3 linked regions of the Notamacropus eugenii genome follow. The protein of the gene in region 1 interacts with the protein of each later gene in a biochemical or structural test. Links are inferred from orthologs where the notes say so. Each region holds a gene or a part of one and is shown on either strand. Other genes may lie near its edges.

Region 1 (7,335 bases):
CTGAGTTCAAATCTCACCTCAGACACTTGACAGTGTGACCTTGGGCAAGTCACTTAACCCCAATTGCCTCATCCTGGGTCATCTCCAATCATCCTGATGAATTTCTGGTCACTAGATTCAGATGACTCTGGAGGAGAAGTGAGGCTGGAGACCTGCACAGCCCTCACTCACTCAAAATAAAGTCAAGTACAAGTCATGTCATTATTTCTCTGATGGCATGGTCTTCTTTGGCAACAAAGGATGAACATACACACGACATGACATGACATAACGTGCCCATAAAATACCAAGATAAGTCCCATTATTCAAAATAATGTCTGATAGGTGCCTTGTCCTTGACAGTCATAAACAGAAGAATGCTCTGTCAGCTTCATCCAGTCTTGTAGTTGCTAGGGTCACAACAAGTATCTGAGACTAGATTTGAACTTAAGAAGATCAGCCTTCCTGACTCCAAACCTGGCACTCTATCCACTGTGCCACGTAGCTATCTTCCTACTGCTCCTATCTCCTTTCACCTCATTCTTTACATGAAGGGTTGGCCCTTCTTTCCATGGCAAACCCTTCTATGTGCATCCTTGATTTCATATTCTCCTATCTTATCTAGTATATTGCGCCTCCTATTATTGCCTTCTCCCTAATCTTCATTCTCTCCCTGTCTACTGTCTTTTGCCCTCCTGCCTACAAATTAAGTTTTTCTTCCCTATATTTAAAAAAACATCATAATTATTCTCTCCTTTTCTTCTGTTTATTTATTGGTTGGTCAAAATGATATTTAAATAAATCTGGTTGGGGGAAAAATCTTTGCATTAAATAACTCTTGATAAAAGTCCGAAATACAGAAACTATAGAGAATTGACACAGATATATAAGATTCCTAATGGACAAATCATCAAAAAGTTTTTAAAAGAAGAAACACAAACTATCAGTGACCACGCAAAAATGTTCAAAGTCACTAAAAATCAGAGAAAGGCAAATTAAAATAATCATGAAGTTTCACCTCATATCTATTAAGTTAGCAAAGATGCTGAAATATGGAAAAATATTGTTCTAAAGATTGTTGGATCTGTGATTTGAATCAACTATTCTGGAAAATATGAGGAATTATTCAAGAAAAGTTACTGAATTGTTCATAACCTTTGGCCCATAGATCCCACTTCTGGGATCATGTTGTTCTGTCTTTTTGGTCATGTCCAACTTCATGACCCCATTTGAGGTTTTCTTGGCAAAGATATTGAAGTGGTTTGCCATTTTCCTCTACAGATAATTTTATAGATGAGGAAACTGAGGCAAACAGTTAAGTGACTTGCCCAGCTAGTAAGTATCTGAGGCCAGATTTGAACTCATGAAGATGAGTCTTGCTGATTCCAAGCCAAGTGCTGTACCCACTATACCAGCTACCTGATCTCCTAGATTATATTTCAACAATAATGATAGAAAGTCTATACATTAAAAAAAAATGCTTATAGAAGCATTACCTGTGACAACCTGGAATCAAAATATGTGCCCAACAGCTGGGGAAAAGCTGGTATGTATATGCAATAGAATATTACAATACCATAAAAAAAATTGTGAAAATGAGAAATTTAGAGAAACACAAGACTTACATGAAGAAAGCAGAGCCAAAGGAAGTGTACATAATGCCTACAACAATAAACCAAGAAAAAGCAAAATAAGTCAGATTCGGTGGCCAATACTGGTGCCAACAAGTCATATTGATGAGATCCTTAGGCAAGTATCTAAGGCCTTCCACAGTTTGGGTCCAATTTTTAACTGTATTTCATTCATAGGATTCCCTTTCATATAGCTTTGATGATTTTGTGCATTCACATAAGCCAACCAATGCCTATAATTGTCTTCACAATTCCTTTTACATTTTCATTTGTAAAAATCTTGTTCTTCTATCAAGACTCTACACACCGGTAACATCAATGATGTTTCTCATTGAAGCAAAGTATTTTCTCTCTACTCAAACTTTTCCAGAGCACTTGAGATCCCTCTTTTGCTCCCATTACACCCACCTTGTATTACACTTATCTGACTACAAGTCTTTAAACTCTCTCAGAGACAAGGTAAGTTCCATCTGTTATCATTTCTTTGTTGGATTCATTTATTCTATTTATTTCCTCTTCTATTTGTGCCTAGCCTAAGATGAATAAAAATCCTACCATTCTGTCAACATAGTATCCTATATCTCCTCCCTTTCTCAGTCCAGCTTCTAGAATCTAGATAAAGCTGTTTATGCTCAGTACCTCCACTTCCCTTCCTTTCACTTTTTTTCTTAACTCTGCATCCTGATTTCTGATGTCATAACTCAGCTGAAAGTGCTTCCTCCAAAGTTACCAATGATCTCTTGATTGCCAAACTCAATGCTTTTTATTCAATACTCATTCTTCTTGACCTCTCCATGGCACCTGACCCTACTGAACACCCTCTTCTGGATGCTTCTCTCTGGATTTTGGGACTGTTTTCTCTTGGTTCTACTCCTCCCCACATGACCACTCCTTATTTTCCTTTGCGGGACTATCATGCATATCACCCCCTCACTCCCACCCCCTAATCCTGGCCTTCTTCTCTTTTCTCTCTTGACTCTCACTTGGTGACTTGATCAGCTGCCATGGGATCAATTATTATCTCTATCCCTGGGAATCATTTTTATGATTCCCATATCTATTTATCCAATCCTATTCTCTCTTCTGAGCTCCAGCCTCACATTATCAACTACCTATTAGATGTTTCTCACTGGATGTTCAATGAGCATCTCAAACTCTGCATGTCCCACCTGAGGCTCAGATTTTCCTCAGACCAGCCTCTTTCAACACTTCTCTATTTCTGTAGAGGACACCAGCATCCTTCCAGGCTCCCAGACTCTCAGTTTTGTAGTAACAGTCATACTACTAAGCTCGGTATCATCCCCCCACTCTTACCTCATACAGTTGTTCAGTTATCAGATCTTGTCCTGTCTATCTCCACAACATCTCTTAAATTCATCCCCTTCTCTCTACTCTATCACCACCCTAGTTCAGAGCCTCTAGTTGTACATTCATTCACTCATACCCCCAACTCACCTGGTCTTGGGGGGAGGGCATCAGAATATTCCTTGCTCCCCCCATTGCCACTTCCAAACTCTCTCTGCCACTATAACTCAACAACATCTTCTTTCATTTTTTATCCAAATTTATCATACAATCTAGATGCTAGTGGCTTTTATCAATTAACAACAACAGCTAACATTTATATAGAGCTTACTATGTGTCAGGAACTGTGCTAAAAGCTTTACAATTATTATCTTATTTAATCCTCACAACAACTCTGTGAGATAGGTGCTATTATCATCCCCATTTTACAGGTGAGGAAACTGAGGCAAATGTGACTTGCCTAGGGTCATACAGCTAATAAATATCTGGGGTGAAATTTGAACTCAGGTCTTCCTGACTTCAGGCTTGGTACTCTATTAACTGCTCCACAATATTATCCTTTCTTCATTAATGAGTTCTGTGGCTGGCTCAAAATCTTTCTCTCCACCCTACTCCTCACACTGGGAACTTATTCATACTAGTGCTCTCTCAAATACCCTAATTTCCAAGTTCTTCAATCTATTTAGTTCCCATGACTACTCTCACTGGTGATATTACCAGATCTCATGAATTTGATCATCATCTCTAGGTAGATGATCCCCAGTTCTATTTATTCAGCCCTTCTCTCTCCCTTAGGCTATATATAGTTTTTCATTAGCAGCCATCTTTGGGGCATCTCAAATTGGATGTCCTGTAGGTATCTCAAGTTCAACATGTCCAAGAGAGAACTCATCATTTCTCCTAAACCCTCTTCTGAACTTCTCTATTTTTTCACTCAGTAAAATTCTGCCCTCTCTTCCTCTCATCCCACGCCTACTCCCTATTAAGAATCAAAGGGAAACAAAACCCCTATCACAAACATCTGTGGTCAAGTACAACAAATTTCAGCATTGGCTAGGTCTTAAAGAAAAAAAAAAGTGTGTGTATGCACACGCACATATAAATACACACACATATGTCTGCATATATACATGTATATCTGTCCCATTCTGCAACTTTCACTTCTTATCAAGAGTTGTATAGTATGTTTCATCATCGGTTCTCTAGAACTGTTTATTTGTTACATTGTTCAGAGTTCCTAACTCTTTCAAAGCTGTTTATTTCTACTATATTGTTATCACTGTACAAATTGTTCTGGTTCTAATCACTTCACTATGCATCAGTTCAGGTGGCACAGTGAATAGAACATTGCAATAGCCTGCTAGTGGTTCTACCTGACGTCCCTCCCTATTCCAATCCATTGTCCATTTAGTCACCAAAGTAATTTCCCTAAATTATTCTCCTACTCAGTAAACCCCAGTAGCTCTTTATTGCCTCCAGAATCATACAAAATGCTCTGTTTGGTATTCAAAGACTTCAACACCTAGCCATATCCAAACTTCCCAGTCTTCTTACACGTTACTCCCCAGGCAGTACCTGGCAGGAACTCATCACTCCAGAATCCAGTGAAACTTCCTTCTGTGCTATTTCCATCCCTCTGCTCCAAGCATTTTCTCTACTGTCTCCCAACCCTGGAAAACACTGCTTCCTCAATTCTGACTGCTGATTCCCCTGGTTTCTTTTATGTCTCACCTAAAATCTCATCTTTTATAAGAAGTCTTTCACAATCTCTAATTTCCTATTTTTCTTGTGTATCAACTATAGATTTGTATAGCTTTGTTTGCATATTGTCTTAGCCCTATGAATTGTAAGCTCCTTTAGGGTAGAGAACTCTTTTTTTTGCTTCTTTTTGTATCCTCAGCACTTTTCACAGTGCCTAGCACATAGTAGGTGCTTACAAATATTGATCGATTAATTGGTTGATTGAGCTGCTGATCTTGCACATTGCTCTTTAGGGTTCAGCTGCTGATAAATTCAGGTATGGACTCCAATTCCAACATCTGAGATCTCACAAGGTTGAAACTTAGACCATTCCGTTTCCAATACTCATACACTTAAGAGCAGGAAAGCAAAAAAAATACAAAGGCAAAAAACCAGATACATCATATTCACAGCACATGCTAACCCAAGCTATGTATGTCTGAGTGTGGGGGGGGGGGGAGGAAGTGTTGGAGATAGGGAATGGGCAGCAGGAGGCTGCTGAGGACATGGCTATCATGTGACATCACCTCCATAATGTCATGATTCTCTTCCAGAACAAGGAACAAACAACATGTCCCATCCAAACAAAGGCTCACAAAGTACTCCATGACTTGAGCATCACGAGGAAAGGCTAATGTCCATTTGGTCATTTGGTGCCTTTTGAATGTACATTCAACAGCTCAGCAGTCAAAATCAAATGGTGTTTTCTTCACTGGTGGTAAATGGATGGGAAATAATCATAGAATACCTGTATATTCCCTCTGCTCCAGATCTTCAGAAACTTCCAGAAGCCAGCTCACCAAATCCCTGCATCTGCGCGTTATTGGGCCCTCATTGACCAGTGCCCTGCCACTTCAGATGGATTTTGTAGGTATGAATGTTTACGCCTTAAGTGTAGGATCTATTTCAGTTTTGTTTCTATCACCTTTAGCATGTAGCAAAGTGCCTGATGTTATTAAGTAGGAACTTAATAATGGTTGTTTGTTGATTAATAGTGGATATAAGGCTTGCCTTGTCAGCAAGATCTGGGTTAATGTTTTCCTTCTGACACATACTGTGGGTAATGTGGGTAAGATGCTTAACTCTCAATGCTAGACAATTCTATAAAACTTGTAAATTACAGAGGAATTGAGAATGTGTATTTGTGAAGAAAGTTTCTGCACAAGGATGAAATCACAAGCTAAAAAAAATTCAGTTCAATTCAATAAGCATTCAATAAACACATACTACGTGCAAGGTTCTAAACAAGGTATGGTAGCTTCAAAGGCAAATGAACAAAAAAAAACCACTCAAACCCAACTAGTCCCTTCAATCAAGAAGTTTAAATTGTGTTACGGTGGAAGCTATTAAATACAGGTGAGAAATGATGAAGGGGTGATGAGGGCCTGAATTGTGTGAATGGAGGGGGGGTGCATATAAAAGAAAAGAGTCCAATAGGACCGATTTTTTGAAATGTTCTTTGACAAACAGAGCATACACAGAACATAAAATATGTTGATGGGCTAAGCAGTTGAGTGGGTATGTGGGTTAACCTGTTGTTATTAATTTCAACTGATGAAAGGATGAATTCTAGTGTAAAATTTGAAGGTACCTAATAAATGGGTAAGTGAGGAGAGGCAGGAGAAAGATTTGACTTCGAATAATACATAGGATTCCCAAGCACTCGTTTTTTTTGTCTGTAGGGTTACAGGCTAATTCGTAGGCTCAAGTCAACACACATCCATTAAAAATGTGAAGTTACACATTGTCCAAAGTTTTTGAGAGTCACAAGACGTTTTCCTTGCAACAGCACTGTAAGGTAGGCAATGCAGAGCAGCAGGAACTGCATTTTGTGGATGAGGTCGGGCGACGCTCGCAGGGACACAGGAGGCGTCGTGTCTCCGCTGGCTGCAAGTCCCACATTCTTTCCGCTGCGGAAAACGCAAAGATAGCTCCTGTGGCAGGGCTTGCGATCTGAAGGGACAGAACCTGAACAGAACAGCTCGTACGAGCCAGCCCGTAGCGAGTTCAAGGGAAGGTACAACGCTTTAACAACGTGAGGAAAGGTCGTCACCGGGTCTCGGGGAAGCCTTCTTGGAGCACAGTACCTGAACTGGGCTTTGAAGGCGTTTCCACAGGTGGGCCTCGCGGCAGCGAAAGCACGAGCGCGGGGGCGGGGAAGACGGGCGCCCCGTCCGGCAGGAGGAGCAGGGGGTGGTCCGCAGGAAGAGAGAAATGAGGTCATCTGTCTCTTTAAAAATGGCGGTGCCCGGCCTGCCTCTCTCCCCATTGGCTGCGCGAGGCCGAAGAACAGCGGGTAGGAAGCGGGGAGCACGTGGTAGGAAGACGGGAGCCCGAGCTTCTACGGCAAGTCCAAGGGAGCAAGATGGCCGCGGCGGAGGAAGAGAACGCGTCGGGCACCGACCCGGAGATGGACGAGCTTCTGGAAAGTAAGGGCCGGACTGGGGACCCCGAGAGGCCAGAGGGCCCGTGGTCCTGGGCGTGGAGGGGGACGAAAAGCGCAGACGCTGGCGCTGGGGGGGGGCGTCTTTCTCCTCAGGGGCCACCCCGCTCAGGTCGGGGGTCTGCCGCGAGGAGGGGCCGTCAACCCCCGGCGTGGGGGGACGGCAAGGTGCGGCGGACAGCCTCGGGAGCCCAGGACGTGGTCCCAGCCGCCCCCCACAGTGCGCTTGGTGAAGCC
Region 2 (7,728 bases), on another chromosome or scaffold:
CCCGATTACACACTTCCCCCACAAGCCACGTGTCACCTGCTGAACAAACATCGGGATAAAGGTTTCCCCAAATTACACAGCTTAGTACAAAGGAATCTTGGAGAAAGACCGTCCCCTTTAGGGCCCCTTCCCACTAAGAGCTCGAAGTGAAAGTACGTCAACAGGCAGAGGGACAGGGGAGATACCCATTCTGCAGCACAGGGTGAAAGTGAAACAAGGAGGTTGGCGCCTGCGCAATGAAGCCCCCAGCCCCAAGAAGGGAAGAGAAGGTGATAAAGAGAGCGTTGGCCCGGAGTAACCTCTCCCGGAGCCCCATGGTTATGCAGTTAAGGCAGAGGCTGATTCCACCCCGTTAGAACATTCCAGAGGCCCTAGCCACTGGCAGCGAAAACCATAACAGATCTTATTCCTGATCTTTTTGCCGGGGGCAGACTCTGCCAGGAGAAGGCTGATCCGGGAGCGGTCTCCCCGAGAGGACAGTGGGATTTGGCCAGGGTTGCGGAAGGGCGGACACCCTCCCTTGGTGGGGAAGCATGGGCAGGAAGTGGCCCATACCAGCCTAGTCCCCCGAGGGGCCCTGCTGGGGGTGGGAAAAATGAGCTCAAGATAGCCTTCAAGTATCCAATTCCCTAGCGGGGAAATAGGTATACAGTAGAGTGTGGGAGGAGGAAAGGATACAAGGGGAAAACTGGCAGCTGAGACCAGGACAAACAGGAGTTACACAACTTCCCCGTGATCTCTGTCGACTAGGTCTGTTATCTCAGCATCCCTTCATTCCCTCCTTTTCAAGGAAATGAGGAAGGGGGGTGGGGGAGAAGGCACGGGGCCCCAATCCGACTGAGAAACTTTGCAGGCAAGGAGCCATGTTGGTATTGGATCCTAGAGACGAGGAAGGAGGTCAGCAAAGACCTGACCCCTAATCCCAAATGGCCAGTCTTTGCTGGTGCCGCTTGTTAACCGAGCTTGGGTCTGAGTCATTCTTTGAACACCCCCGCCTTCCAGAGGCCCATCAGAGGGCTACCTGGGTTTCAACAACAGAGAATAGGGAGGGGTCAGACAATCAAGGAGCCGGGTCTTGATTCAACCAGCTCAAGTCACATGGCAAATGGCAGTTCTCCATTTCCCCCTTTCCCTGGCCCCAAGCTGCCCTCCTCCTTCCACTGGAACCAAAAACATCCCAGATTTCCCAAACTTTGAAAGCCCTGCATTCTGTGGTTCTGAGTGCCTCTGACTCTGCATTTCTTCTTCCCCACCCCTTAGCATGAAAGCCAAGAGCTTGGTCCTCAGAGAATACATTCCCAGTCCTTGGCATCTTCCCAGCTCAGTCATTAGGTTAGACAGACCCAGCCCTGGGACCTCGTAGGGCTCTGGGCAAAGAGAAACTTGCCCTAGAGCATGGAGGACTGGAAGAACCTCAAGGAACAAGGTTGGAGGGGGCCAGGGAGGCTCTCGGGTATGAAGATAGACAAGCAGAGACTTGAATGGGATGCTCTAGTCTGAAACCGCTAAGATTTTCTGGCAGCCAGTCTCGAGAACAAAATAAACAGAAGTGTCAAAGAAAGCAGCAGTTTGTAATTTAGATGGAGCTGGGAGAGAACCCCTCACCATCATGATCTTCCCCTGTGCTACCCCCAGGGACACTTCCCCTACACACACACACACACACACACACACACACACACACACACACACACACACACACACACACAACATACTCCTACATCAATCTCCAACCTTTCCTGAAACCTCCCTTTTTTTCACCCGACCGCAAAGTCTGAACCCCCACCTCCCCATTAGGTTCCTCTTCCACCACTAACCCCAATACCCCTCCCCCCTTTCCTTCCTCATTTCTGCCACCAACTCCTTGGACAACTGAAGCCTTTCCCCAATGTGGGCCCTGTCTCCCCTGTCATCCTCCACATCCCCCATGGCTCCCCACCTCGTGGCCTCCGTAGAAGGCAATCTCCTCCGAGTTGGCCACCACTCTCGAGTGCATGTAGCGCAGTTCCCCTTTGCGGCGGGCCTCCTCGGCCACCAGCTCTCCGAATTTGGGGGAGCAGGCCCGAAGCACCTTGGCCGTGAGGAAGACCACCAGGCCTGCGATGGCCGACGGCCAGGATGTGCTGGCTCCCCGGGAGCGAGCTGTGCGCACCAGGGTGTACGAGGTCACTGCCACATCGAGCAAGGGCTTGGTCAGGTTGGAGTAGAGGTGGGCCACTGAGGCAGCGAAGGCTACCACGTCCTCAGTGAGGGACTGGTCAGGGTTGCGCAGGCGGCCGTCCATGTTGCTGACTCGGTAGTAGGTTTGCTGGCTGAAATAGAGGCGGTAAGCGTGCTCCACGAGGCGGCTGCGGAAGGCCAGCGCCAGGCGGCCCTCCAGGTAGCGGATGGCGCTGTTCACGAAGGTGGCGGGCAGCGCGATGAGCAACCACTGCAGCAGCTGCCAGCTGAAGGCCCGCGGCTGCTTGCGCACGATGCAGCGGGCCAGGCGGCCATCCAGGCGGGCCACGTACACGGACAGGAAGGTGCGGCTGACCAGCGCCGCCGTGTGCAGGCCCAGGAGCGCGGTCTCCCGGCACAGGACCTTGGGGAACAGGAGCCGCAGCAGCCACAGCAGCCGGCGCAAGAATTCGCGGTTGGCGCTGGCGCTGGTACTGCCGCTGGCGCCACTGCCCGTGGCCCCGGCGGCCGAAGAGCCCGAGGCGCTGCGGGCCTCCGCCTCGGCCCGGCCCGGGGGGCCCCGCGGGTGCGGCGTCACCAGGCACTGGCGGACCAGGGGGTAGATCTTGTGCGCCCCGTAGGCCGTCAGGGCCAGCACCACGGCCAGGCGCCGCAGGGAGGCCGCCCGGGAGGGCCGCGCCGTCGAGAGCACCTGCATGGCGCCCGCCTGGAAGGGTGGGCACCCGAGCTTCTAGCGGAGGCCGCGGAGGTTACCCGGGCAACTAAGGCCTTGCGGGCAGGCCCCTTAGGCCGTTTCCTAGGAAACCAGGGGTGCCACAGGGCATCCACTGAGGTGGTTGCCCTAGCAACCAAGCAGGTACCTGTCAATCTGGGTCTCTCTTTTGTCAATCTTGGGTCCCTCCTCTATGTCTCTGGCTCTTTTCAGTCTGTCTGTGTGTCAGTCACTCCTTTCTGTCTCTACACTTTTCCTCTCTCCAGTTTGTCTCTCCTCTCTCTGCTCTCTCCTCTCTGTCTCTATCTCTCCTCTTCACCCTCCTCAGTCAGTCAGTGATCCCTACCCCCAGACAGCCCCGTGGACCACGTAGGGTCAGGATTTGGGGTGGAGGGGGGCCGGGGAAGGGAGTGCTATCTTCTCTTCCTCCTCCTCTGTTTCTTCCTCCTCCTCCTCCTCCTCCTCCTCCTCCCAGGGCGCGGCCCCTCCCCAGGACAGCAAACTCGACCGCTCCTCAGCCAGACTGGAGCGACAGTGACTCCGCCACCGGCCCATAATCCCCACCCACCCCTCCCCGGGGGCGAGCGAGATGGGGAGGGGGGAGGAGGAGGAGGAGGAGGAGCTGCAGCTGCTTCGGCCGCCGCGGGCTACAGAGACCCCGCCCACCTCACGCTTCTAGCTACTCCCCGCCTCGCCTCCGAAATCATAGAGATATTGGAGGACTCAGTTGACTAGAGAGGCCATTTCCCACCCCTCCCACCCCCGGCTGGCCCCGCCCTCAGGGGTGTCGTCATCGGTAGAGAGCGCCCTCTGGCCCCTTTCCTGGGCATGCGCATTCCCGCACTCACGCTTTCCTACCTGCCCTCCGAGGCTGCTGTAGCAGTAGGTGGAAGCGGTGCGGTGGTTGGTGGAAGACTGCACAGGAGGCGGGGCCTGACCCTCCAACTTCCGATTTCCGGTCTGTGGACACAAGGCTGAGGGGCGGAATTTGGGTGGGAGAATACTGAGTTCGGGCACTCAAATCTTACGGCTGTGGTGCCGAGGCGCGCAGGTGAGAAGAGGGCGGGTCCGACCCGGCCAGGGGGCCAGCCAGAAGTTGAGGGGGGAGCCATGAACTAAGGGAAAGGACCCCCGTGAAGCTACCGGGCCCTGAAGGTGGCGGCCCCCTCGCTTCGGACGAGCGTGGAGCTGAAGACCGGAGAGGAGGGGGGACAGGGGACGTCCCGATGCCTGGGCGGGGAGGGGGTAGGGTACTGGGAGACGGCCGAGGCCGCGCAGGCGGTGGGGGTGGCTGCTGCCAAGGGAGCAGGACCCCTTCGGCCCCAGGGAGCGGAGCTAGGCCTGCGTCCTGGCATTGCCAGCTAACCAGATCTGTCGCAGAGTGCCGGGGAAAATTGGTCAGGAGGTGCATTTAGTGAGGGCGTGAGCGAAGGGTTTCTGCTGCATAGTCAGAGGGCCCTGATCAGGTTCCAACAGAGGGGTGGAGTAGGGTTACTTGTTTGGAGAGAAGGGGACCTTATTCTGGCCTATCTGGAAGACCTAGCCATTTCCAGATTCTCCTTTGCAGGGGCCCAAGTCATCTACTCCAATTAATTCATTTTACCAAATCTGTGCGAAGTGATTTGCAAAACTTTATATCTCCATGTAAATAGAGACTGCGGTTATTATCGTTATTAATTTGTTATTGTATTATACAAATTGGAAAAATAAAATAAAACCCGGCGAGATTAAATGGCCTACCCAGAGTCACTCAGGTGCCTGTTTTGGGAATCAAACACATCCTCTTTAGTGCTTTTCCCACCGGAAGTCAGTTAGTTTTGACTTCTGGCATCTCAAGATTCTACTTGGGTGCCTGGTTTAAGGGACATAGTAGTCCTGTGAATCACACTGTCTGTTCATGTGTTTGGGGCTTTTAAAACCCATACTCTGAAGACTTCAGTAAATTATGTAGTAGATTAATTTATTTACCAGAACCAAGGGGTCCCCTGGTCCTTTAGAAGTTGTTGATAGGTTCCCCCAGCTATGTTAATGTGGCTTAATTCACTTGCTTGTTTTAATTCCTGTTTGAAGGAACGTAGTATGGTTTTTAAAGCTGAGAAGAAGGATTGGTGAGGTATGGATCAGCACAGTTTCTTCAAGAATTTGTTGCTCATTGATCAGCTCCTCACCTCCACCCCTTTCTCATGGCCTGTGTTTCCTCAAATCTTTTCAGACATTTCAGAGGTTGGTCTATTCTGCCTCCAGGTCAAAACCAACTAGTGACTAAGGATGAGTCTTCAGTGGACTGCGGTTGCTACCTTCCTCTATGCAGAGGTCTTTGCTGTGCTGCTGCTCTGCATTCCTTTCATTTCTCCCAAAAGGTACAGCCTATTGAGTGATCAACTTCAGAGCTCAAGGTGCCTTTATGATGAATTGTGCAATGCTGAGCCCCATGACCTACGTGTATAGGTTTGGTGGCTAATTGATAGGACCTCCAGGGCTTCCCTAGTGGAATGATTCTTCATAAAGGGAGGCAGAGCCATCTGCTTTTCATATTTTTTAGATAAAGTGTTTCACCTACATGAAATCCTCCCAATTTCTCTTCCCATTCCCCTTTCACTTTTGGGTGTCTGCGGTGCAGCCAGGTTCCTAGGATGGAGGTGGATGTGGGAGGTTGGGGGTCCTTATGCAAGCTGATTCTCCTTAGTTCTAACACTTACCTAATACTTCTCTCCAGAAGTGTCAGTCTGTTGTAATTAAGCAATTGTCGGTCCAGGTGCACAGACTCCCCAGACTGGAAAGTTGAGAAAGTATCTGGGGCTGAGAGGGATCCCAGGGTACTTTGAGTATCTCCAGCTTCTGTTTCTTTCTCGTTAGATGGCAGAAGATCTTTAAGTCCCGCCTGGTGCAACTGGTGGTGAGCTATGGCAACACCTTCTTTGTGGTTCTCATTGTTATCCTGGTGCTGCTTCTCATTGGTGAGTGACAGAGATGTGGTCGTGGTGAGCAGTATCCCAAATAGGAACCTCTCACAATTCCATTTCTTCCATTTGTCTAATTTTCACAGTTGTGTCTCACCCCCCTTACCAGATTGTACATATCTTAGGCATCTGTCCTCTGATATTCTTCATAAACAGGGATGGCACTGTTGATCCATAGATGCTTTGGATGGTCTCCAGGATGCCTGGCCTTCGCATTAGTACCAGGTTCTAGCCACTGGTCCAACAGATCTGGACCCCAGACTTGAGCAAGCTTCTTCTGGTAACCACGTTTTAGGTACAGAGATTGAACAAGCTAGGCCCATTAAAAGTTGCAAAGGTAAACAGAGTCCCATTTTTTTGTATCCTTGAAGAGCCTATGTCAAAAGAAAGGCAAAAAAAAGTAAATTTCCCAACAGAATCAAGAAAAGCAATGAATGAGAGTAGAAAAAGCATTGGACTTGGGAGCTGATGTTGCCACTGGGACTAGAACCTAGATCACTTAACCCGCTTTGGGACTTGGAGCAAATCACACCCCACCTTGGGGTGAAGAAAATGTCACTGCTCCAAAAGAGCTTTAATGGCTTCTCTAACTGGTCTCAGGTTTCCCCGTTAGTCCAAGCAGGGAAGAACCTCCGTGCTGTAACAATAGTATGCCCCTATCCTACTTGTCTTCCTAGGGCTTGGCAGCTTAATTCACAAGATTCAAGGAGATGTGTCCAGGCAAGGTTGCATCTTAGCAAGATGGGTGTGACACATCAGTATTCAAACATGTGCAATGCCAGCTGCTTGTTTACCATACTGATGGCTATAGATTCACATTGACTTAGAAGTATTTTGTAAGGTAGCTGCTTTTAAGCAGGGTACTCTCACTACCAAGGTTTTGAGTCAGGTAGTGGCAAAAGAGTATCTCTGTTGTTCTTGGACCATTTTGAGACCAGGATTTTTTGGAGAGGAGGGTGGGGTAGCTTCGGGAACTCTTGACTCAATCTCAATCCAGATGCCACATGTACTCCTATATTCTTGCCTTCATGGGTTTTGGTTAGTACAGTGACCTGGAAATTCAAAACCACATGAACTGGGTGTAGGATACAGTCTCCCTTCCTGGGGTTATCGAGGGTTTGGCAGTTCTTGGATTATTGATTCCCAACTCTACTTTTATGATCCCACTTCGATTGGATACCTTCAGGCAGTTTACTCAGCCTTCTTGTGTCTTTCTCATTCCCCCGGCCCCCCTTGCCATTCATCAGCAATGACAGTTGAATCCTAAGCTATCTTTGGTCATACAGAGAGAGAGAGAGAGAGAGAGAGAGAGAGAGAGAGAGAGAGAGAGAGAGAGAGAGAGTGTGTGTGTGTGTGTGTGTGTGTGTGTGTGTGTGTGTGTGTAAAGAGAACATTCCCTTGCAAATTCATCTGTAAAACGAGCTGGAGAAAGAAGTGGCAAACCACTCTTTGCTAAGGAAACGTCAAATGGGGTCACAAAGAGTAGGATACAACTGAAATGACTGAACAACAACAAAATATAGCTATTTATTACTATATATCTAATAATTGATGGGAGATCCATTCTGGGCCTACTACCTATCTCAACAGGGACTACTGGATGAGATGACTTCCTTTTGCTTCTGAAGTCATTCAGAGGCCAAGTTTGAAGGGAGGTAGGTGGATGAGGGAGCCATTTATTAACAAATTACTTTGGGTTCTCATTCCACTCTGTTGATACTTCTTAGCAAATTTAATTGGACCCCTTAGGTAAGGGGAAATAGTGGTAGGGAAAGATTAGAGAAAAATTAGGCCATGTGGTAGATAATGACACATGAAATCCTTTGACTATTGGACTTCATTTTGGGGCTTTCATCCTCTAACTTAGGCATTGCC
Region 3 (7,724 bases), on another chromosome or scaffold:
TATCTCTTGTTTGATCATAAATTCGCCATAATAATTCTCTATGGTCAGATTCTTTTTTTGTTGATTTTTGCTCATCTTTTATAGCCTTTTCCCTTACTTTAAAATTTAAGCTCTGCATCTGTGGTGTAAGGGCTCTATTCCAAGCTTCTTGTGCCAGGGGTTGGAGGCCCTGGTTTTTTATCTGGTGCTGCACTGATGTTGTTCTGAGGTCCACATGGATCCTTGTGTCTGGTGTTGTGCTGGGGGGGTGATGTATGGGGTGGCTGGTGCTGTTGGAGGCCAAAGGGTTCTGGCAGCTTACCTGGTGCTGAGGTGGGGTTCCAGTGCTGATATCTGCCTGTGTGAGGCCTACTGAGATTTCCATTGCTGGAATCTGCCTGTTTGCTTGGCTATGCTGGGTTACATGATGGGTCCTGATGCTAGCCTTTGCCTGTTTCCTTAGCACATGCAAGGTCCAGGTGTACTGAGGGATGTGGGTGGGTCCTAGCACTGACATCTGCCTGTTTGCTGGGGGCTACACTGAAGCTCTTGGCAGCCTCAGTGCTGGTGTCTGCCCATTAGCCTTACTATGTCAAGTCATTTTGGAGTCCTGATGTTGGCATTTGCCTGCTTCACCCCACTGAGGATTAGGACCTCCTGCTAGTTGGCTAAGGCAGGCTTGCTTCTAGCTTCCCAGGATGCTTCCTGTCCTGGACTGCACTACTCTTTTACCTGAGTGAGACAGATCCTTTCTGTTGACCTTCCAAGTTTCTTGGGCTTGGAGATTGTTTTCACCCTGTCTTTTTGCTGGTTCTGCTCTTCTAGGATTCATTTTGGGGCACTGTTTTATTGATGTTTAGAGGTGAATATGGGAGTATTAAGGCTATTTCCTGCTTACTCCACCAACTTGGCCCCCAGAAGAGCTCTATCTTCCATATTTTAAGAAAAAATAAATTTCATTAGATTTTTCAGGTTTTGGCAAACTCACATTTTCCACGTGGGGTATCCTGATGGAAACTGATGGCTAGCTTGTTTTAGATTCTCCAAGACTGTGGTCTGTTTTGGGCTGCCCTAGGAAGGGGAAAGCCTATCCAGGTTAGCAGTTTCTTGTATCTAGTCTTCTGAAAGACTTACCTGATTTTTTTAAAAAAAAGACTGTTTGGGGGAACAGTTTTATCTGATTCTCTCTATATTTGTTGTTTCTTCCATGTTACAGAGTCACTGAGGTCTCAAGGTCTTTCTCCTTCAGATAGCCTAGTATTCTGTCTCTCTCTGAGGAGAGCAGAATGGTCAGCCTCATGGCCCCAGTCTCTTCCTCCTTGCCTGGCATGAGTTAAGAATCTCCCTTGACCTTGATAAGGCTAAGCTACAGACACTCTAGATATTTCTATCTATAGTACCCTGGGAATCTTATCTAGACAGACCCATGTGAACACACATGTGTGTTCATCCTTCATTGCCAAAGAAGACCATGACATCAGAGAAATAATGACATGACTTGCACTTGACTTTGTTTTTTGAGTGAGGGAAGGCTGTGCAGGGCTCTAGCCTCACTTCTCCTCCAGAGCCATCTTAATCCAGTGACCAGATATCCATCAGGATGACTGGAGAGGACCCAAGATGAGGGAACTGGGGATAAGTGACTTGCTCAAGGTCACACAGCTACTGAGTGTCGTGTCTGAGGTGAGATTTGAACTCAGGTCCTCCTGATTCCTGTACTGGTTCTCTATCCACTGCACCACCTATCTGCCCTGTGAACACACATAACATAATGGGGCAACTTACTACAAGTCAGAGGCTTATGACTTCAATCACTTCATTACAGATGATCCTGACTATGAAGAATTGTTGACTATGCTGGAAGTATCATCCTCTCTTCTGTTCATGATGCTGCTTCTGTCCATTGTCTTTGCCTTGCATCAGAAGAACCACTGAAACTGCAAAGATTTTGACATAACCACCGTGTTGACCATACCATTGAGATCTAAAACTCATTCCTTCTAATGATCTCTCTAGAAGATTCTTAGAACCTTGTCATCATGGGGTGGTGTGTTATAGAACTATTTCAGCGATTTTCCCTTTGCCCACAACATGGATTAGGTTAGTTTTCTCTGAAATGCAACAAAACTGTCCCTCAGAATTCATTGGCCTATCATTATTGAAGGAATTATAAGCATTAAGTGAACCACACTGACTCCATCTTATGATTTAACTCTAGATCTAAATTCCTTTTCCATATTCAATTGTGGGTCTAGTCCACTTTCTTTCTTGTAAGAAAACTTAATTTAATTGTGCAGAAAATCTCATTATGTTATTTGAGCCTAACCCCCTGCATGGGTACCACTACCTGTTGTTTTCAGACCCTTAACTAAGGACCTGGTAATGCTCACCAGAAATCCAGTCAGATCCAAAGACTGATGCAAGGAGTTTTCTCACAGTTGTACATCTCAAGCAACCTATGCCTTATCTGCAAACTGGCCCTGTACTGGTGACTCAGTTACTGTTTCTTTGTTTATTTGATTACATACAGACACTTGGAGGGCAGTGGGACAGCTCTTTTTCTGATTTCAGGGAATTGCACCTGTTCACTCTCCCTGCTCCCAAGTTTTGAAATTCATTCAACAAGGAAAGTCCCTAATCTTTCCTCCAATTAGAAATCAGGTGACCTAATCTTGTGCCCTGTTTTATATACTGTTGTTTGCTTTTAACAGATAAAAATCTGTTTGCTCCTGTATTTGGGGTCCAGGGTGAAATTAAGAAGGCCTGGTTCTAAATTGTTATGCAATTGCCATGCATTGCTTAATAAACTGATATACTTGGAAGCTCAGGCCTTTGTTTCCTCAGTTATTTCAGATTTCACCCATCACCCTGTTAATATCTATGCCTCCTTAATTTGGCACTGCTCTGCTAGATCCTCCTCCAGTTCATGCCTTTTAACCATAGGTGTCCCTCAAGGCTCTTTCCTGGATCCTTTTCTCTTTCTCCTATATCCTGCTTCATTTGGTCATGTTGTCAGTTCCCATGTACTTAACTACTATCTCTATGCTGATGATTCATAAATTTACTTATCCTGCCCCAACCTCTCTGTTGACCTCTAATCTTACGTCTCCAACTATCTTTTAAACCTTACAAACTGGATGTCTAGTAGAAATCTTAAACTAAATATATCCAAAGCAGAACTCATTATTCTCCCTAAAAACTCTCCTGCTTCCATCTTCCCTATTACCATAGAAGGCAACATCAATCTCCCATTCCTCAGGCTTGCAACCTAAAAGCCATCCTCAAGTCTGCACTGTCACCTATCATATCCAATTTGTTGCCAAGGCCTGTAAATTTCACCTTTTCACATCAATTATATTTACCTCCTTCTATTCTCAGTTACTGCTAACACTGTAATGCAAACCTTCATCAGCTTACACCTGGACTATTGTAATAGCCTGGCAATGCGTCTGCCTGACTATCTTTCCCTGCTCCAAATCATCCTCCATTCACCAATATCATCAATGTGATTTTCCTCAAAGTGCAGATAGGACCATGCCACACCTTTTCTCAATAAACTCTAGTAGCTTTCTATCACCTCCAGAATCAAATACAGAAACCTCTTTTTAGCATTCAAAACCTTTTATAATCTATCTTTCTAGTCTCCTTACACCTTACTCCCCAACATGAACTTTTGGATACAGTGACTCTGGCCCCCTGGCTCTTCTGTGAACTCCCTCTCAGTTCTGGACATTTTCTAAGACTGTCCTCTCTGTCTAAAACACTTCCCTCCTTAACTCTGCATCCTGGCTTCTTTCTCTGGCTTTTTTTAAAGTTTCAACTAAAATTCTATCTTTTATAAACCCTTTTAATTCTGGTTCCTTCCCTCTGTTAATTGTTTTCTTTTTATCCTGTAACATAGCTTGTTTGTATATGTTTATTTGAATGTGACTAGACTATGAGCTCCTTGAGGGTCATGACTGTCTTTTGCCTCTTCGTATTCCTCAGTGCTCAGGACAGTGCTTGGTACGTAGTAGTTGCTTAATAGGTGTTGATTGATTTCCCAGAGCTTCTGAATATAGAAAATGAAATACCAATTGAGAGAATTCACAGATAACTGCCAGAAAAAAAAAATCAAGGCTGCAAACACAAATTGGTTAAATTTAAAAAGGATTTTGATAAAGACTTTGAAATGAAAAGGAAAGAAAATTTGAACAAAAGAAGACTATTCTGCCCCCACTAGAAAACAGGAGAATGGAATAATATGTTCTTAAGAGCAGTGGAGCTCAAGATTCAGCACAAGGTGACCTACCCTGCAATTTTAAATTCAATCACACATGAAAAAAAACAGGCATTCAATAATAAAGAGGCAGTTGAAACATTTTTAGCAAGGAAACCAGAACTGAAGGGATTATTTGCTTTTCAAATACCTCAAAAAATAGAAATGCAGGAGAAGTGAATAAGTGAAACAATCAAGGATGGCAAGAGCAACAGAGTGAAAGTAGAAAAACCAGTAAGAAATTTCTTTCTATATGTGTAAAAAGAGAAAGTGGTAAAGGCAGAGGTGGGTATGGAGCATTGTGGATATCCTGCCTATAGATTAATGCTTCTTTTGTGGGACTACATTACATTATGGGAAGGTATGTGAAATGGGAGGGTGGGCGAGAGGGAGGGAAGCAGGGGAAAAGAGAGGAGAAAGTGATACGCTAGGTTTAAATCAAGGGCTAGCAATGGGGGGAAGTTGACCCCTGTGGTCTCAGCCTCCAAGGGAATAGTAAGGATAAGGAAATGATTGAAAAGGGAGTTCCACTGATAAATGCTCCTATGACTGAAGAGAGTTTGTTTGTGAAGGGAGATGGAGACCTTGTACTGGATGTGTCCTGATGGATGTGGTGCTTGAAAAGTCTACATGTTCTATCTTGGGTATGGGGGAGTCAAGATTCCTGGAAAAAAGGTACTTGGGGGAATGAGGAAGCATGGGTCCAGGAAGGAAATTTTGAGGCAAATGGAGAAAGAAGGCAAGTAGAACAGACTATAGAGTAATAGTGGACTGCATAATGAGTGATGTAAAGGGGGAAGGACCCTACTGTGGAACAGTGTCCTCTCTGACACCTGAAATATTTGACATTGTTCTGGGAGACAGGTACAGTGGAAAAGGGGAATCTATGGGTGAGTTCTACCATTTTAGAAAGTGCCTAGAAGTAAAATGATTCTCTTGAAAGCTTTGGTCACATGAGAAATACAGAGAAAAGAGAGAGGATAGGTAATTATCATGATCATGAAACAGAGAATGATGGTCTAGAGCAGACAAAAAAGAGAAATGGATATTGAAGAGAGAGGAATCCTTTTAGAAAATGGGTGCAAAAATGAAATAAAAAACCCTAAGAAATAAGACTAGTTGAAGGAGGAGGAAAAGAATGGCAAATCTACTTGACTAAGAAGAGAAAGGAGGAATTATATAAACAGATAAAAGCAGGAAAGGAAAAAAATTAATATGCAAAACAAGAAAGTGTTAACAAATTAGAGGAGGGTATCAGGGATGAACAAAAATCTCAGTGGAAACTCAGGCACCTTAAAAAAATTAAAGTAAAATAACTTAAGGACCACAGTATTGTAATTATTACAGAAGAGGGGAAAAATCATAACTTTTATTAGAAAAGGAGAAAAATACAAATCAGATTCTCATAACTTTAAATGTAAATGGAGTAAACAATCCAACACAATGAAAAAGTTATAGGTTTGATAAGAAAACAAAACCCTACAATCTGTTTTCTCATTAAAAATATTTTACTAAAGAAAGATATACACAAAAATAAAATTGAGGGAATAGAAAAATTTACTATACGTCAAATGAATCTAAAAAAGGCAGGATTTGCCATCATACTATATTAAAAAGCAAAAACAAACATTCAAAAAATAAAAAGTTATAAACAAAAAACCTACATTATGCTGAAATGAACAATGCAATAGACAACAAACCAGTATCAGTAATGAACTTACATGCTATAAATGCCTTAGCATCCAAATCCTTAAAAAAAACATTAACTGAGCTATAAGAATATATGGACAGTAACACAATACTGACAGGTGATTTCAATATACTTCTTTCAGTTTTGGATAAGTCTAACAGAAAAATGACAAAAACACAAATTCAGAAAGGAGTAAATTATAGGAGAAACTAGAATTATAAAATTTATGGGATCTTTTAAATGGTCCTACAAAAGAATATGCATATTTATCACCCCACATTAAACTTCTACAAAAATTTGCCATGTGCAAAGGCACAGAGACAGTGTAAATACATATTAAAAGGCAGAAATGGTTAATACCTCCTTTGTAAACCATAATGCAATACAACAGTAATCATTTCAGGGACCACAAACAAAAGATACAGACCAAATGGAGACTTAATAATGAAATTCTAAAGAACAAGTGAGTCAAAGAACAAAATCATTGGAACAATGAATAATAAAATTATAATGATGAAACAACATATCAAAATTTCTGTGATGCAACTAACAGTCACTAGGGAAAAATGATACCTTTACAAACATAAAATAACAAAATAGAAAAAGAGAGGGTTCATGAAGTAAATGTGCATAAAAAATTAGAAAACCAACAAATAAACCTAAAATAAGGACAAAGGATATTAAAAATTAAAGAAGAAATATGTAAATTATTAACAACAAATAACCATAGAAATGATTAATAAAACTAAAGCCTGATTCTTTGAAAAGACTAATAAAATTGATAAACACTGAGTTAATCTGATTAAAAAGAAAAGCAGAAAATCAAATTAATAAAATATCGAATAAGGAAAGTAAAATCATAGCTAAGCCAGGTGAAACAAAAAAAATCAAAACAGTTACATGCTAACAAAACAGAACATGAAAGACACAGAGGAATAGCTTCAAAAATATAAAATAATTGCACTATCAGAAGATGAGATAGAGAACTTAGATAAGTGAATCTCAGAAAAGGAGAATTCTATCAAACTTTTAAATAGCATTTAGTAACTGGACTTCAAAAATTATTCTCAAAAATTGAGAAAGAAAACATCTTATCAGAATCATCATATAATACAAATATATTCCTAACATATAAAATGGGGAAAAATAAAAATACAGAAAGAAAACCATAGGCCAACAATGAACATTGACCCTCAAATTGTTAAACAGAATCCTGTCAGACTATAATGATTTATTCAAGAACTCATTCATTATTACCAAGTGGGATTTATGTCAGGGATGGAAAGATGGTTTAACATTAAGAAAACAATTCAACATAACTAATCATATGAAAAACCAAAACATGCAAATCCATATAATAATCTCAAAAGATGCAAAAAAAGCCTTTGATGAAGTACAATAATTCTTTATTTGAAACAAAAAACAAAACAAAACAAAAAAAACAACCTTTAAAGTATAGGCATAGGGGGACATTTTTAAAATATAAAAAACATCTCTCTAAAACTGAAACCAAGAATCATATGTAAGGGGTATTCACTAGAACCTTTTCCAATAAATATGGGAGTGAAGCAAAGATTTCTGCTCTCCTCACTATTATTTGATATAGTTCTATAATTGCTAGTAACAGCAATAAGAAGAGAAACTAAAAGCATAAAGATAGGTAAAAAAAGAAGATAAAACTCTCCTTGTTTGCTGATAATATAATTTTCTTGGAAAAATCTAGGGAATCAGCAAAGGTACTCATTGAGACAATAGCTTTAGCAAAGTTGTAGCCTACAAAATAAATTCTCAAAAAAT

The links.
Region 2: the proteins of PEX19 (region 1) and ABCD1 form a complex in vitro, tested with the Homo sapiens proteins (3 studies listed by BioGRID and IntAct, with this or other methods). The link is inferred for Notamacropus eugenii from reciprocal best matches to the Homo sapiens genes PEX19 and ABCD1.
Region 3: the proteins of PEX19 (region 1) and ABCD2 form a complex in vitro, tested with the Homo sapiens proteins (3 studies listed by BioGRID and IntAct, with this or other methods). The link is inferred for Notamacropus eugenii from reciprocal best matches to the Homo sapiens genes PEX19 and ABCD2.

What each region holds. Positions count from the first base shown.
Region 1 is NC_092873.1:385,304,561-385,311,895, reverse strand, and holds the start of PEX19 (peroxisomal biogenesis factor 19), read left to right. Parts: upstream 1-4,334; 5' UTR 4,335-7,020; coding exon 7,021-7,084; intron 7,085-7,335. UniProt on the Homo sapiens protein: Necessary for early peroxisomal biogenesis. Acts both as a cytosolic chaperone and as an import receptor for peroxisomal membrane proteins (PMPs).
Region 2 is NC_092879.1:22,531,492-22,539,219, reverse strand, and holds the start of ABCD1 (ATP-binding cassette sub-family D member 1), read right to left. Parts: upstream 3,005-7,728; 5' UTR 2,879-3,004; coding exon 1,940-2,878; intron 1-1,939. Other genes in the region: BCAP31 (B-cell receptor-associated protein 31), read left to right, coding at 5,162-5,253, 5,750-5,850. UniProt on the Homo sapiens protein: ATP-dependent transporter of the ATP-binding cassette (ABC) family involved in the transport of very long chain fatty acid (VLCFA)-CoA from the cytosol to the peroxisome lumen.
Region 3 is NC_092874.1:212,092,220-212,099,943, forward strand, and holds the start of ABCD2 (ATP-binding cassette sub-family D member 2), read left to right. Parts: upstream 1-4,720; 5' UTR 4,721-7,724.